Linked DNA regions of Diceros bicornis minor. The main gene of each other region encodes a partner of the protein of the gene in region 2 in a complex. Links are inferred from orthologs where the notes say so. Each region holds a gene or a part of one and is shown on either strand. Other genes may lie near its edges.

What was found.
Region 1: the proteins of RNH1 (region 2) and RNASE1 are in contact, whole or in part, in a crystal structure (PDB 3TSR), measured with the Mus musculus proteins. The link is inferred for Diceros bicornis minor from reciprocal best matches to the Homo sapiens genes RNH1 and RNASE1. Residues at the interface, in NP_001165571.1 of Mus musculus: Cys7, Asp32, Thr60, Asn89, Asp117, Glu145, Tyr146, Asn174, Glu202, Trp257, Trp259, Glu283, Ser285, Trp314, Lys316, Glu340, Glu397, Ser401, Asn402, Gln426, Val428, Tyr430, Asp431, Ile432, Tyr433, Trp434, Thr435, Asn436, Glu437, Arg443; in NP_035401.2 of Mus musculus: Arg26, Glu27, Lys32, Gln36, Pro48, Thr49, Gln53, Lys56, Arg57, Met60, Asn62, Gly63, Ser64, Cys65, Lys66, Pro67, Val68, Asn92, Lys94, Asn96, Leu111, Lys112, Gly113, Asn114, Ser115, Lys116, Asp121, Ala134, Glu136, Val143.

The regions. Positions count from the first base shown.
Region 1 is NC_080744.1:28,472,450-28,480,295, reverse strand, and holds the start of RNASE1 (ribonuclease pancreatic), read right to left. Parts: upstream 3,055-7,846; 5' UTR 2,257-3,054; coding exon 2,003-2,256; intron 1,254-2,002; coding exon 758-1,253; 3' UTR 1-757. UniProt on the Homo sapiens protein: Endonuclease that catalyzes the cleavage of RNA on the 3' side of pyrimidine nucleotides. Acts on single-stranded and double-stranded RNA.
Region 2 is NC_080770.1:333,247-341,223, forward strand, and holds the start of RNH1 (ribonuclease inhibitor), read right to left. Parts: upstream 3,237-7,977; 5' UTR 2,845-3,236; coding exon 2,822-2,844; intron 1-2,821. UniProt on the Homo sapiens protein: Ribonuclease inhibitor which inhibits RNASE1, RNASE2 and angiogenin (ANG). May play a role in redox homeostasis. Required to inhibit the cytotoxic tRNA ribonuclease activity of ANG in the cytoplasm in absence of stress.

The DNA.
Region 1 (7,846 bases), on a different chromosome or scaffold from region 2:
CAGCTCCTAAATTGAAGCTGGAAGGTTCCAACTTTCAAAGTAAGAGATGACCATTTTTCTGATTTAGTAATAACTCACTCAAAACAAGGAAAATGGAAATTTAGGATCCTACTTTCCTACATTCCTCCTCCCCATCCTGAGGCTGAGTAGGATCTTCCTGAGGTCACACTGACCTTCCTTCTGTGCCAGAGACTTTTGTATTTAGCTTCGCCCTCTGTCAGTTCACCCAGCATGACAGTGTCCCAGACTGTAGCTCCCTTTTATCTAAAATAGCCCACACTTAAAAACTTTACATTTGGCATCAAGGAACCCACAAGGAAAGGAATTATCTCAGGTCACTAAAAACCAAGAGCCAGAAGAGAAGGCACTTAACGATTCCCTTTGCTGCTCACCAAAGCTAACCAGATTTACAGTCCTCAGCCCTGGCAGGCAGGCAATCATGCAAACAGTACCTGGATGGGGACGGCTTCAGGAATCCAGGTGGTTGCAACTGTGTTTTATTGAAAGAAGCAATGAAGTGGTTAACATGGGACATACCTCACAACCCACCCTTCACCCTCCAAACCACTTGTAGGGGGAAGCCTCAGGCCAGGGAAGTGTGCGTGTGTGTGTGTGTGTGTGAGTGTGTGTGTGTGTGTTTGTGTGTGTGTGTTGGATCTTGAGTTATTCCTTGCATCCCCAGGGCAAGGAAGGAAGGAAGAGGGGAGAGACAGGTGCCACCATGATGAGGTGGTGGGGCATCTCTCTGCTCCCGGCCTCAGGTGGAGACTTCCACAGAAGCGTCCAAGTGGACTGGCACGTACGGGTTCCCCTCACAGGCCACGATGATGTATCTCTCCATCCGGCTGGTCCGGTACGCACAGTTGGGGTACTTGGAGCCGCTCGTGAGGCAGCACTCTGTGATGCGCATGCTGGAGCTGCTCTGGTAGCAGTTGGACTGCCCGTTCTTGCAGGTGACATTTTCCTGGAAGCAGATGGCCTGGACATCGGCCAGGGGCTCGTGCACAAAGGTGTTCAACAACTTGCACCATCCCTGTATCATATTCCGGCGCATCATCATTTGGTTGCAGTAGTTGGAGCTGCTGCTGGAGGTGCCGTCAGAGTCCACGTGCTGCCGCTCAAACTTCATGGCCGCTGATTCACTGCCCAGGGAAGGCTGGACCACCCCCAGCACCAGCAGCACCAGGACTAGCAATGGGAACAGGACAAGGGACTTCTCCTGAGCCATAGTGGCCTCACTCCGCCCAAGGAGCCTAGCCAGGAAAGACAGAGAGGAAGAAAAGCATTGCCTTAGAAAGAGAAGCCCCACTTCCACCTGTGGTCTTCCACCTCACAGTCTCCCTCCCACCTTACAGTCAGCCAGAAAGACATCCCTCTTCCTGCGAGCTTTTCCAAGTAAGGAGACATTCACATGTCCTCTTCTCTAAGAACATTTGACTCCCACTCGCTACAGAGGCCGTCCTCCCCTCTGGGTGGTGACCCCGGAAGTAATCTAAAACCCTGAAAGTCTTCCCTTTGAACACTGAAGAAATTTTTATCTCAAATACATTTGAAAAGTAAAATACATTTGTACTCAATGCTCAAATGTGTGCTCAAAAGTGGCTCATTAGAAGATCCTTTTGAATAAACTATTAAATAAACCAAATTTTGAAGAGGCCAAATTATATCCCTGAGATACCACCAAGTGTCATCCAGGATCATGGTTGACAGAGCCCTGTTGTCCTACAGCACAAGGGAAACTCAGCCCAGTGCCTGACACTGGCATCACAAAGGATGCTATTGTATTCCAAAGAGAGATGCTCGTCTCCCCCAACCTGGGGGCTGCTTCTTTTCCAGCCCCATGGATTCTCTGCAGCTCAAATGCTCCCTCCTGACCCAGCTCTGGCCACAGCTGATTTTTGCCTGGCCCAAGCTTTCTCAGTGCTAGCCTCACCCGCCTGGCTCCCTCCTCTACAACCCTCAAGCAGAAGTAGCTCCTGAGACCACCTCTTGGGCGGCTTACCTGGGTCTCCAGCTTGGTCTCTGAGAGAGCCGGAAGGCCAGTTTCTGCAACCAGTCAATCCCTGAGGTGTGGACATTATACAGATTACAAGGGGGGTTGGCCTCCAAGAAGGGAAGGGTGGGAGGAGCATCTGGGTCTGAGTCCGGAGGAAAGCAAGGCCATTGTGAGGAAGAGGTGAGGAGTTGCCCAGGCCACCCTCTTTTCAGGGCTGCTGGGGAGAGTGAGTCTTTGCCTATAGGAGCCTTTCTTACCATACGAATCTTATCTGTCTGCTGGTTCACAAGTAGCAGCAGAGAAAGCCACTACAGCACTGATGTCTGAATCCCCAACCAAGTCCTTGTTATCTCTTTGAGGGCCATTTTCACCAAATAGCCCTTGGAGGTTAGAAAGGACACTTAACATGTGATCATATGAGACAGAGGGAAAGGGAGATCCACTCTCTCCCCAGGAGTCCTGGAGACCCTTTGGCGGTGTTAAGGCAAAATACCCAATAACCATTCTATAGATAAGAGAGAGAGGTGAGTCTTACTTGAGCCAGAGTGAGAATTATAACCCGGGAAGGACTTTTCCAGAAAGGAAGAAAGCTTTCTGGAGAACCATGGTTTTCAGTGCAGTCTTAGATCTTTTTAGAACAAAGAACATACATTAAACACGCCCAGGATACATATTCATCCAAGTTTCAAAGAGGTATTCAGTTGCAAATCAGCAGGCCAACATGATCTCAAAGTCGGGGAAAGGGAATAACCCAGGCGTTACCGATAGGGTGTTACTAATATGGCATAGAGGGGAAGTATGCATTCTTATCTTGAGAGACCACATTGTTTACTTTAATGGTTAAAGCGGATGTACAGTGTATGTTTGATAGGCCATAAATTAGACTTCTTTAGTTCAAGCCGAATCACTTTTGAATCCGAATAGTTAACCTGTATGCCCCTATATGTGAAAATCTCTTGTCAGCTGGGATTCCACATCTCTCTCCAGCACCTCTCCTGGGGGGAGGGGGGAGAGGTGTCCAGCCGCCCCCAGCTAGAACGCTTCCCAGATCTGGAGAAGGAGGGGGAGAGTGCCTGAACAGGGAGGAAAAGAAGGAAGCCTCCACAGGACCTCATCCAGTTCTGGCCACTTCGACATTCTGACATTCCTGGGTGTTGAATGTGAGTGTGTGGTAGATCTTATCTACAGTGACCACTTATCTGGTAGGTGAGAGTTGAGTAGAGGAACGAAAGATGAACCAAAACCCAAATACCTTTTGGAGAAAAGATAGAGAACATCGTATTTCTTATCAGCAGCATCCCTCCTAGAAAGAGATCTGTTTGTACTAGGTGACAATTTTGATACCTCTGGAGTGAGAATTATCAAAATATCCCCCCACGCTCTGGATTTAGACTGTCTCAGTTCAAATTCTGGTTTAATACCTTAAGAGCTGGGCAAGTTACAGAACTTTATTTCCCTGTTCCTCAGTTTCCTCATCTCTAAAATGAGGGTAATAATATATACCTCTTAGATTTGTTTTTAGGAAGAAATAAGATAAGATGGGCAGAGGGCTTAGAGTAATGCTTTGAAAGCATCCATAAATGCTAGGTCTTATGATGCGTCATGCCAGGTGGTGTTGAGATCCTCCCAAGGAATCTGTTTAAATAACACTGAGTGATCTCTGAATCGCTTTCTACAGGGGATAGAGTCAAAGAACTGCCAGGCTTTTGTTTTGCTAAAAACCTGAGCTGAAAATAGCTGGCAGTTTTGGAGCCCTGGGGAGGGAAAGAAAGGAGAAGAGGAGAGAAGAGAGAGAACTTGAAGGGAAGAACAGAATTCTTTAATAGGAAATTTTTAAATTGTTTTGCCATATGATATCCAAGAAATTTTTAGTAAAGTAACATTTGTCAATGAGTATGAATTTGGAAGAAGTGGGGCTAAGGAAATGTGGTGTGGCCAAGATTTTAGTTTCACGTTCTCACAGTTCACCCACCACCCCACCCTCCATACAGGCTTTGTTTGTCTCTTAGTCCTTAGATGGTACTCATATCATCTGGAGTGGTGTTGAGTGGAAAACTTTTCCTCTATCCATTTATGTTCTTGGTCAGGAGGCCTGCAAATTAACCGACAAAAGACAGATTAACAGGAGAATTGACAAAGTTTATTCATATGCATATGGAGGCACACAAAAGAAGTAGTTCACTGAACAGCTAGGGATAAGAGTTTATACACTAACTTAATAGGAGAAAGAAGGGAGGTGGGTGTGAATAGGGGCTTTATAGAAAATAAATGGGTTTTTTAAAGAAAGATTAATGAGCTTTTAGCGGAACAAATGGGAGGTAAGATAGTTTGTGATGCTGTTTGTTTATGCAAGAGTGAGTGGTCTATATTCTTCCTGGCTGTAAAACTCCCCAGGAGAGGGAATTTATAGCAGACTCACTCTCAGAAGACATTGCCTTTAGTCAGATAAGGGGAGCTTTCGAAAGGCTTCTTTCTGCATCTACTGAGTCTCAAATATCTTCAGTTTAAAATAATCTTCAATCAACTCTGGGAATCCGAGTAGGTCCCTACCATGGTCAATTTAGGATTTGTTCATTCAGTCATTCAGCAGTGGGAGTACAGAGATAAATAAGTCACAGGGCCTGCCCTAAAGATACCTGATGAGATGGATTGTAACATTGGTCAGGTGAGTCCCACCGAGGTGTTGGGCATGGCTACACAAAAGTAGTCATTCTTCTGGTACCCTGCCAATGTCAGAAGAATTTCTTCAGGGAGTCGGTCCAACAAGAAGATTTCAGAATCACAATTCCTATATGAATAGGCCTTCTGTAACCCAAATAAAGTTCTTCAGTAGCCTCCTTCCCTGGGCATCCCTGACTATAAGAAGCCATTTTGCCTATTTGTGTAGACAATCTAGACAAGCCCTCGGGGTTTTAATTCACTTCATGGGAACCATCAAAAACCCATCCTTACTATAGCCTTACCCTTGACCCAGTTGCAAAGGCATGTCCCCCTGTCTTAGGGCAATAGTTGCCACTGCAATGTTGTTGATGCTTCTGCTGAACTGGTTCTAGGCTCCCTGCTCCTAGTTTCTCATGCAGTAAGACACTACTACTGACTGAGAATACACAACACTTTTCAGCCAGCCAAGTAACCCCTTAGAAGATTCTATTACTCTTTCCCTCTCACATACTGTTCACCTCGGAAACACCTGAATCCTGACACTCTCCTGCTCCTACCAGAAGAAGGGGAGCCCTGTGATCATGTTATCTCAGGTAGGGAACTTTCTGTATCCTACTTAGATCTATTAGAGACTCCTATTTATTAGAGACTTCCTATTAAGAAGCCTGACCTAACGTTATTTGTTGATGGATCATACCTCAAAACTGAAACTTGAGGTTATCAAGTGGATATGCTATCACTAACCAAAGCTCTTCAGAATATAGTCTTCTGCTTGAGGTAAATCAGCCCAGATGGCAGAACTTATTGCACTTACTAGAGCTTGTCAACTAGCCGAAGACCAGAGAATAAAGCTATATACAGACAGCAGGTGTGCTTTTGGAGAAGTACATGACTTTGGGATGCTTTGGAAACAAGCATCAAAATGGACGGCAAGTTAAGGAACTTTTAGATGCACTCCTAGTTCCTGGACAGGTGGTTATTATAGAGTGAGGCCCACATTAAAAGAGATAATATGGAAGCGAAAGGAATTGCTCTAACAGATCATTATGCCAAATAAACTGCTTTAATTAAGATTATGAGTCTATTTAAACCCTCAAAAGATAAATCTCTGGACAAATTCAAAGAGGCCGTTATAAAATATCAACATTTAGCCCCTGATTATGAAAAAGAAGAATGGAAAAAATCTGGCTGTACCCTTCACTTGCATAATCCCTGGCACTCTCAAGAAATAATCTGAATTTTACCATGAAATACCCATCACGGAATAAACAATTTGCCTACTATCTTAAATCAACATTAGTAGAGAAACTTTAAAAAGAAAGCTGAGGTTATTTTCAGGTCACGTGTTACCTGTCAACAACACAATCCTGGAAAAGTTGTAAAGGTAGCACATGGCCAGGACCAAAGCCTCAAGGGTCCTTTGGATACCTTTAGCCGCTTATCCAGCTTCCACCCACGATGCGATTTGAATGTGTTTTAGTTATTATATGTCTATTTTCAGGGTGACTTGAAGCATTTCCTTGCCAAAAAGCTACCGCCCTTATAGTCACTAAAAAGCTGCTTGATTTTATGTTTTCAATCTAGAACATCCCAACCTTTATATCAAGTGATTGAGGCACACACTTTAAGGGAACCATTATAAAAGATCTCTGCAAGTTGTTACCCTTTACTCAAAAACTACACCGTCCTTACCATTCACAATCCGCTGGAAAGGCTGAAAGGACCAATGGCATCCTTAAATTAAAATTAGCAACATTTTCAGAAACCCTTGAACTCTCTTGCCCAAAGGTACTCCTACCCACTATCCCTTATGGCCATCAGCCACTCTCTCAGAAATATATGGGTTATCCCCCTACGAACCGATAATTGGAAGGCCCACGCACTTAGGAATTTCACCTCCAATACTACAACCTGCCCTACTTGCATGCAGACATAACAAAATATTGCAAGGGACTCACGTACTGTACCCACTCCTATTGCCAACAAGTTAAGGCCACCTTCCTACAACATCTTTCTAAACAATCTCTTCATGATCTTCAACCGGGGGATTTTATCTATGGGAAGAGCCATCAGAGAAAAACTGTTCCTGAACCCTGTTGGAAGGGACCTTATCAAATTCTGTTAACTACAAATACAGCAGTGAAACTCCGGGGGAGTCAATCACTGGGTCCATGGTTCACAACTAAATCAGCAATTCAGAATTCTGCGTAACTGGAAGGTTACTCCAATACAGGAACTAAAACAGGATTCTCCGAGATCCTCCAGAAACAGCTGATCTTCAGAAGCAGACAGCTGACCTAAGACCCTTGGAACAAGCCGACAACCATGGATAATGGACCGGTTCCACACATGATGTTGGAGCAAGACTCCTGTCTAATTCCTGGTTGTTTTTTTTTTAATATGCTTGCTTATAATCTCATTATTTTCTATATACCTCTTGTTGTCATCTGCCCATAATGAGCCTTTTTCTCTTCTCTTCCTACTTTATTATAATTGTTAGGTCAGAATATACTCATTCTAAAAAGGTAAACATATGATGTGATGGATGTTTTAATTAACTCAATGGGGGGAATCCTTTCACAATGTATACATATATTAAATCATCACATTGTACACTTTAAATATCTTACAATTTTGTTTGTCAATTATACCTCAATAAAGCTGGAAAAAAAAAAACCCAAAAAGAACAAACTTGTTCTAATACCATTTTTAGATTATCCCAAACAGTAGCCACTGCCTTCAATCTTACTGACTGCGGAATATGCCACCCACCCCCAGATCCCCATGATAAAAACCTCTGGGTAATTCTGATGTCATTATATGAGACCATAGGCAATCACAGCCGATGGTGTTTCCACTTGCATCTACAAGGACAACTGACTCTAAACAAGTCAATCTGTGACTTTGCTAGTATCCCTCTCTCCCAGAAATAGAACCAATTATTATAATCTATTGTTCAGACCCTAATTCTAAATTTGAATTCAACAACCTCCCTGGGGTGATGGGCTGAACTCTTGGCACCTAGAAAAGACTAGTAGAGATCCAAATATGTAATGTAAGGCCTTGGTTCCAACCTCATGTCATGAACAACTCCTTGTTTCCTGGATCTCCACGTGCCCCTACTGGATACCACTTCCTTTGTGGTCAGGATACCTGATCCTGTTTGCTCAGACTAACACCTCATGAACT
Region 2 (7,977 bases):
CCTGCGGCTTCTCTGAGCCGTGCGCCCAGCCCCCGCCGCTTTCCGCTCAGCCCCGGGTGCAACTCGGCGACCCCGCGTGACTTCCCACGTTGTGGCCCAGACGAGCCTTTCAACTCCGCCTCCAGAACAAGGCGCCGGGAGGCCCACCCCACCCCACCGGGACCCTGCCCTGCCCCGCCCCCAGTGCGCCGACGGGAGACGCCCGAGCCTCTCCCCGTCGCACCGGACAGGGAGGTGGCAGAATGACACCATGTGTGGCTGTGATGACACGGGTGCGACTGTCATCAGTCGGCTCTGGGGACGCGACTAGGCCCACGTGAAACATGCACGCACCCGTTTCCCCGTACGGATCAGGGGACGTTCGCAGAGAAGTCTAGCGGACACGGTCAGAACGTCCCTTCGCAGTATTCTGTAACCTGCACTCCTGGAGAAGCCTCACGTCCATCAGTGGGAGGTGGTTGAGTAATGTAAGACACCCGCTCTCCGCCAGTTAAAACCCCGCTGCTGACAGGGAGGACTGCGGAGGGCACGCTGTGAAGTTTATTAGACACACAGAACGAGACACACGGCACCAGTCCCGAACTTCCAAAATGACGGGGAGACAGCACGCGGCCCTGCGGGCGTCTGCGGGCTCCCAGCACACGGCTGTGGGTGTCCGTTCAAGAGCGCCCCTCGCTGCCATGTGCACGTGTTAGAACAGGGTGCTCCACGTGCTCGCATTGCACAGCATTCCTCAATTCAGCCGCCACTTACTGAACACCTATTGTGTGCCGGGCACTGTTCTAGGCGCTTGGGCCACATCAGTGAGCAAGCAGGGCAAAGGTCTCAGCCCTCTAGGAGCTCAAGGGGACACATGAAATTAAAAAGCAAATTAATAGTAGGGCTGCCCCAGTGGCCTAGTGCTTAAGTTCATGTGCTCTGCTTTGGCAGCCCAGGGTTCACAGGTTCGAATCCCAGGCATGGACCTACACACTGCTCATCAAGCCATGCTGCAGTGGCATTCCATGTACAAAATAGAGGAAGACAGGCACGGATGTTAGCTCAGGGACAATCTTCCTCAGAGATTGGCAAGGGATGTTAGCTTACAGCCAATCTTCCTCACGAAAAAAAAAAAAAAAGCAAATTAATAGTGAGGCAGCCCTGATGGCCTAGCAGTTCAAGTTTGGCAAGCTCCGCTTTGGCAGCCCAGGTTCAGTTCCTGGGTGTGGAACCACACCACTCATCTGTCAGTAGCCATGCTGTGGTGGCGGCTCACACAGAAGAAACAGAACTTACAACTATACACAACTATATACTGGGGCTTTGATGGGGGGCGGAGAAGAAAAAAGGAGGAAGATTGGCAATAGATGTTAGCTTAGGGCGAATCTCCCCCCCGGGGGAAAAAAAAAGGAAATTAATAGTATTTAGAATGTGGATAGTGCCAAGGGGCAAAAATAATGCAGAATAAAAGGGAATCAGGAGTGCTGGAGGGTCAGGGCAGACGTCAGGCATGTCCACTCCCAGGCGAGAGCAGGCCACGGGTAGCAGAGGCCTGAGGCTATGGTGGCCGCCCACAGGTGGGTTGAATGTTTCACACACTGCTCACTGCCGACCTGGCCTAATCCTGGCGGCCGCCAGGGAGCAGCACAGTGCAGATGGCGACAAGAGAGCAGCGAGCTGATCTGCTGCAAGGGGGGCCAGTTCTTTGGGGGAATAAAGTGGAGGGTTACTCAATTTGGGGATATTTGGCTGGGCTGGTTCCTGCTTGTGTAGCTTGCTGGGTGCCAATGGACAAGGGGGTCGCACCACCAACGCAGCCCTGGAGAGCCCAGTGGCTTCGCAGGGACAGACCACTAAGGTCCAGACAACCCCACCCATGAGCTCCCCCCGAGTGGGTTCAAGGTGTCAAGTTGTCGAGTGAAGACAGCCAGCAGCTCTCCTCCCCCTCGACGCAAGAAATGAGCGAGGTCCTGGGTTTCCCACAGAGGCTGCTGCAGCCTGAGGTTGGGTGAGGGTGGGTGAGGCAGAGGGGCGAGGGGGGAGGGGGGCCCCTGGGTGTACCGGAGCTACAGTCAACGTGATCGTGATTTTTGTCACATGAGCATTATATGCTCTTTGTAGAAAAACCAGAAGACAGAGAAAAGAAAATGAAGAGCGCTAGAATGCCCATCTTCTAGAGACAACTGCTCTGACATCTGTTCACGTGCTCCTACCCACTCTGTACACACATTTTTAAAAAATAAAAAATCAGATATTAGGAATGTTAGGCAGAATAATGGCCCCCAAAGGTGTCCACGTCCTAATCCCCAAACCTGTCAATAGTTACCTTCCATGGCAAAGGGATCTTTGCAGATGTGACTAAGCTAAGGGTCTTAAGATGGGGAGACTGTCCTCGATTACCCGGATAGGACCAATGTAATCATGAGGGTCCCTATAAGAGGGAGGTGAAAGGGTCAAAATCAGCAAGGAGACGTGACCATGAGGTTGGAGTGGTTGCGCTTTCAAGATGGAGGAAGGCAGCTTCTAGAAACTGGAAAAGGCCAAGAAGTAGATTCTCCCCTGGAGCCTCCGGAAGGAGCCCGCCCTGTGGATACTCCGATTTTAACCCCCTAAGACCCATTTCAGACTTCCAACCTCCAGAACTGTGAAATAAGGAATCTGTGGTAATTGTTACCGCAATAGGAGACGAACGCATTATGGAGCTGCTATAACATTTTCCTCTCAAGAACAGATCGGTATACAATGTATACAAGCTAACTTGCAGTGAACCCCACATTGTGTGCCAGCCTCTGAATGTATTCCATTTACTCAACCCGTCTTACAGGCCGACATTTCGTCTCACCTGGTTAGCTTCCTGGTACCCATCCTAGAAGGGGGGCCGGCCTGGTTCCAAGATGCCGCCCAACTGCCCTCCGGAAACGCTGCAGAAGTCCACCAGCTTTCCCGCACGCGTGTCTCCGCACCGCGTGGGCACCGAGAGGTGCCAGCCCAATAGCGCAAAGTGCCTGGACCCCCCTGCACATCTCAGCCAACCCTGAGACCACCCTGAGCCCGCGGCCCACGAGGCGCTGTTCCAGTCACGCTCTCCTCTTGCCCCCGGGAGTCGTCCACCCAGCTCCCCCAGGCCTCTCAGGTGACCTCCCAGGGCTCCTCTGACTGGGCTCCGCGTCATCACCCGGCCTGCGGTGTGCTTCTTCCCGGGCACTCTCGGAGGGGTGGCCACTGGAAGCACGTGCGAGTGTCCCTCCACCTCTGGTCGTACGTCATGGAGACCCCGTCCCCCCGTTTCCCCAATACCCCCTGGGCGACTCCTCTCTGCCAGGGCTGTCCTTCCTGGGGGTCGGTTCTTTGCGGCAACAGGCCAAAGGTTACTCAATTTGGGGAAGAAAGTGTGGCTGGGCCAGCCTCTGCTTCTGCAGCTTGCTGGGCGCCAATGGACCAGGGGTCAGGGAGAACCCCGCACTCGCGCGGACACAGGCACCCAGAGCGGACCACGCAGGCGCAGACCAGCGCGCCGCGCCGCGCCTCCCAGCGTGCCTCGGGAGAAGGGCCTGAGCGGTGCGCACGCGCGGGGGCGCTCTCGGTGCTGTGACGTCCTCGGGGCGCGCCGACGGCCTCCAGGAGGCGCCGCTGCCTCGGCCCGCTCGGCCCCGCCCCGCCCCCGGGCCCCGCCCGGGCCCCGCCCGGGCCCCGCCCCCGCCGCACGCCCCCCGCCCACACGCCCCCGCCCACACGCCCCCGCCCACACGCCCCCACGTCCCGCCTCACGAGCACGTTTCTCCCCCGGGGAGCATGGCAGCAGTACCGCCCCTGCGCGTCCATAGGCGGCCCGACCACAGCCGCCGCCGGTGAGGGCTGACCTCGACACGACGACGGACTATCACTGGCCTGGAGACCGGAGGGAGACGGCGCACTTCCGGCAGGGAGGGCGGGGGCGGGACTGGAGGGGTGGGGGCAGGGCCTGGCGGGCGAGGTCTGGCTGCCGTGTCAGGACCGGCGGGGGGGGCGGGGCCCGGAGGGCGGGGGCGGGGCCTGGCGGGCGAGGTCTGGCTGTCCTGCCGGGACTGGTGGTGGGGCGGGCCCTGGAGCGCGGGGCGGGGCGAGGTCTGGCTGCCGCGTTTGGACTGGCGGTGGGGCGGGGCCTGGATGGGAGGGCGGGGGCGGGGCCTGGCGCGCGGGGGCGGGGCGAGGTCTGGCTGCATCGTTGGGACGGGCGGTGGGGCGGGGCCGAGCCGGCGGGGGGCGTGGCTGGAGGACGGGGCCGGGTGGGCATGGGCGTGGCCAACGGGGCGGGCGCAGCCTTTGGGGGTGGACTCCTCGCGCCCACGTGGCGGCGGGGAGGAGCGGTGGTCTGGGCGGGCTGGGAAGCGTGGTTGGCGGGCGCGCTCCGTGGGCGGGCCTCGGACGTTGGGCACCGTGAGGGCGTGAAGTCGTCTGGCCGTGACGTTGGCGTGGCTGTCAGGGGGCTCGGCTCGGTGACTTGGAGCGAAGTCTGGCTCCCGAGTTTCTGCACAGCAGTCCCTGCCGAGCACCGACCTGGTCGTATAGCTGGAGAGTATACGTAGATGGATGAAGTCATAGGAACGAGGGTGGCCACGTTATTCATTAAGGCACGGTTTGTGGTCTATGGGTAGTGCTTCATGAGTCTAACATTGTCAATTAACGGAAATAGTTCAGAGTCTCGCCTGACTGCGTTCATTCGAGGATAGTTATTAACTCCTTTGTGCCCGGCTGTGTTCTAGGTGCCGGGGATTCAACGCTGAGCAGAACAGAGGAAATCCCTGGTGGGGGAAACGTGGGACGGGGAGGCCAGCCTAGGAGGGTTACCTGATGAGGGGCGTGGCCTGGCGTCCACAGGCTGACGCCAGTGGTGCTCGGCGAAGGACATAAAATGGAAAGGTGGGAGTTTTACCGAGGAGGGGAAGACTGGTCTGGCAGTAAGCAGCACGGGGAGGAACCAGCCACACTGGAGAGGGCCTTATGGGAAGCCCTGTCCCCAGGAGCGCCAGTTCCTGCTGGAGCAAAAGGGATGGGAGGTTGTTGAAGAAAAAACTGACTTTTCTTGCGGACTTACTTCTTTAAGTGCTGAAATTTCATTTTAACAATTTTGATAGAAATTGTTTAATTACAGTATTCACTTTCTTCTTTAGACAAAGTGTACTGACCTGAGTGACTCTTCTAAAACTAACTTCAACAAACCGTTTGGGAGATACTTCTGTGGGCTGGCGCCACGGCGGGTGCCTCGGAGGAGGAAGGGATGAGCCAGGCCGAGGCCTGCTACCTGGAGCTATGTTTTGGGCAATACTCCAGGTGGCAGGCGGTCACAGATGCCCCAAAGGTGGTAGAGAGGAGGGTTGTTGAGAGGAGGCAGAAGAAATCATGAGCAATGTCTTTGATTCCTTTGCTGAAATACAGTGTGCTCATGTGATATCTTGAGTACGTGCTGATGCCGGATAGACCCAGACTTCTTATCTCTATGTTAGTTTATTTCTTTGTGTTTAATGGGAAACAGCAGTCAAGGCTTGTTGGAATCTGCGCATGGGTTTGAGATGTTCTCAGGTGAATAAACATTATGAACTTTAGCGCATAAACGTTATGACTTATATTTTTGGTGCTTATTCAACAAACGTTAAGTTGTGCGCTAGTCCCCAATTCTCAGAATTGATGTTTTGGCAGATGAGGTCTGCAGATAAGGGGACTGCACGGCAGAGTTGTTCCTTACCATTTTATTAAACTGCTCTTCTGACTGTCTTTAAAGGAGGTGGCTGAGCACTGGGAAGGTGCAGGGCCTGGAACCAGCTGACCTGAGTGTGACCTTCACTGTGTGGTGACCAGAGGCCGATCTTTTGAGCGTCTAAGCTTGATCATTTTCATCTGTACACCAGGCCCACCAAGTACCTCCCTCCAGGCGGTGAAGATTCAGTGCTGGGATGCAGGTAAATGCTCAGTGCACCTGGATCTGAATATTGTTTATGCAAAGTGTGCACTGGAAAAAGTAGCTGCTTTTGACTTAGAATCTGGCTGTGGGGTTTCGAATGCATCGCAGGTCACTGGAAGGCCTCTGCTGGCCTGACTCCTGGGCGGGCTCCCTTCCCCACCACAAGAATTAGATCTTAGGAAAGCTGCTAAAATGTTGTACTTTCATTTCATTCTTTTCTATGCCATAACCTCTTAGGTTTGTTTCTTGCAATTCTCGTAAGGGTGAAGAAAACAATTCAAAATAAACGTTTGGCCCTGAAGCTGTTTGGGCCCCTTTGTGACACCCCATGGAGATACGAGGACTTGGCTGCTCTGGGGACTGGTGAGAAAACGTGGGGGAAGGCGCTCGTCAACTTTGAGACACCCCACGAAGCCGAGCACGCAGGTGACCACCATCCATGTGGCCACATCCCGCCCAGACAGGACACTGGCCACAGGGGGGGCCACGTAGGATTCACTGGAAGTCATGTCTTTATACATATTTTTGAACTTACCTGATTCACCCAGTTATGTCCTTATCGTTGTTTTTAAACCGACCCAGTTCACCTGACGGGGGATCTGGAGTGTACGGAAGTCCCCCCACCTCCAGTTTTGTATTGCCGTCCCCCCAGAGGTGACCATTCTTGCCCACTTCTCGAAGGTCCTGGCGTGCTGGGCAGTGCTTTGTCTTCCTGATCCAGTTCCAAACAGGCACCTAGTAGATGTGAGTTCCTTGCCCTTTCCCTTATTCCTCCGGCCCCGTCTAACTACACGTTTCCTGAAATAGAGAGCCTTTGGGTTGTTCCTGCCTCTTCCTCAGTGCTTGTCAGTGTCCTGACATAGGGTCTCAGGAAACAGGAATAGGGTGAGGGGCTGAAGAGGGAAACCCCAGTCCATGTTTATGAGACGCCGTCTACAGAGACCCCAGTGCTACAGGTGGACTGGTCAGACACGTGGGAGAGATGCCGCCCAGGGCGTCTTTGGGTGGGAGTCCCTGTCCTGCTCTACTTTTGTAAATATATTCCTTTTTTTGCTTTTTTTTGTGAGGAAGATCAGCCTTGAGTTAACATCCATGCCAATCCTCCTCTTTTTTGCTGCGAAAGACTGGCTCTGGGCTAACATCTGTGCCCATCTTCCTCCGCTTTATATGGGACGCTGCCACAGCATGGCCTGACAAGCGCACCCAGGATCAGCACCCCGGCAGCCAGCAGCGGAGCACGCATACTTACTGCTACACCACGGGGCCGGCCCCCTATATTCCTTTTTTATTGAAATTTAAGATACATACAGAGAAGTGTGCATAGTGTAAGTACAGAGCACCTGGGATCTTCACAGACAGCACCCAGGTAAAGTGGAAAACATGGAGGATGAAGTAGCAAGGGTTTGAGGATTAAACCTGACCAGTGGCTGCTCTGGGTTCATATGTGACTGGTTATATTGTTGACAGTTTGTTTAAGTGACGCTAGAGATGGCCAACTGAGTGTCATCCCAAGGTTTGGAAAGTAGAGCGCCCTCTGATTCATGGGTGAAGCCTGCCACGTGGCAGGACGTTCACAGTGTGGCAGGTGTAGGGAGATCTGGGCTCCTCACCTCGAGTGAGAAGGTCTTGACTTGAAGTTGCGATTTCAGTCAGACCATGAGGAAGTGGGCCAGTCAAGGGATGGTGCACGCTTCTGGAGTCCTGAGTTCCACGTTGGTCTTGGCCCAGGGGCGACGTTCTCTTCCCTCCTGTGTGGGGATGCTACAAAAATAAGATGTTCCTCCAAGGGCCTCAGGTCAGACACTGAGTCAGCCTCTGGAACTGAGTGGTGTTTGAGACAGCAGCCCGCCCCCAGGAGCTGCGCAGTGTGGGCACTGTGGGCACTATGGTGGCCTTGGCCAGGCATCTTGATGAGGCCTGGGAGGCACCTTGATGCAGGAGCTACTTGAGTTCCCGGGGCACGGGGGAGGCATGTGCAAAGGCGCAGAGGTTCGAGAGAACTGCTCTTCTGACCGCTAATTCTGCAGACTCCTTCTGCCTGTTTGTGAGCGTCATGTAGG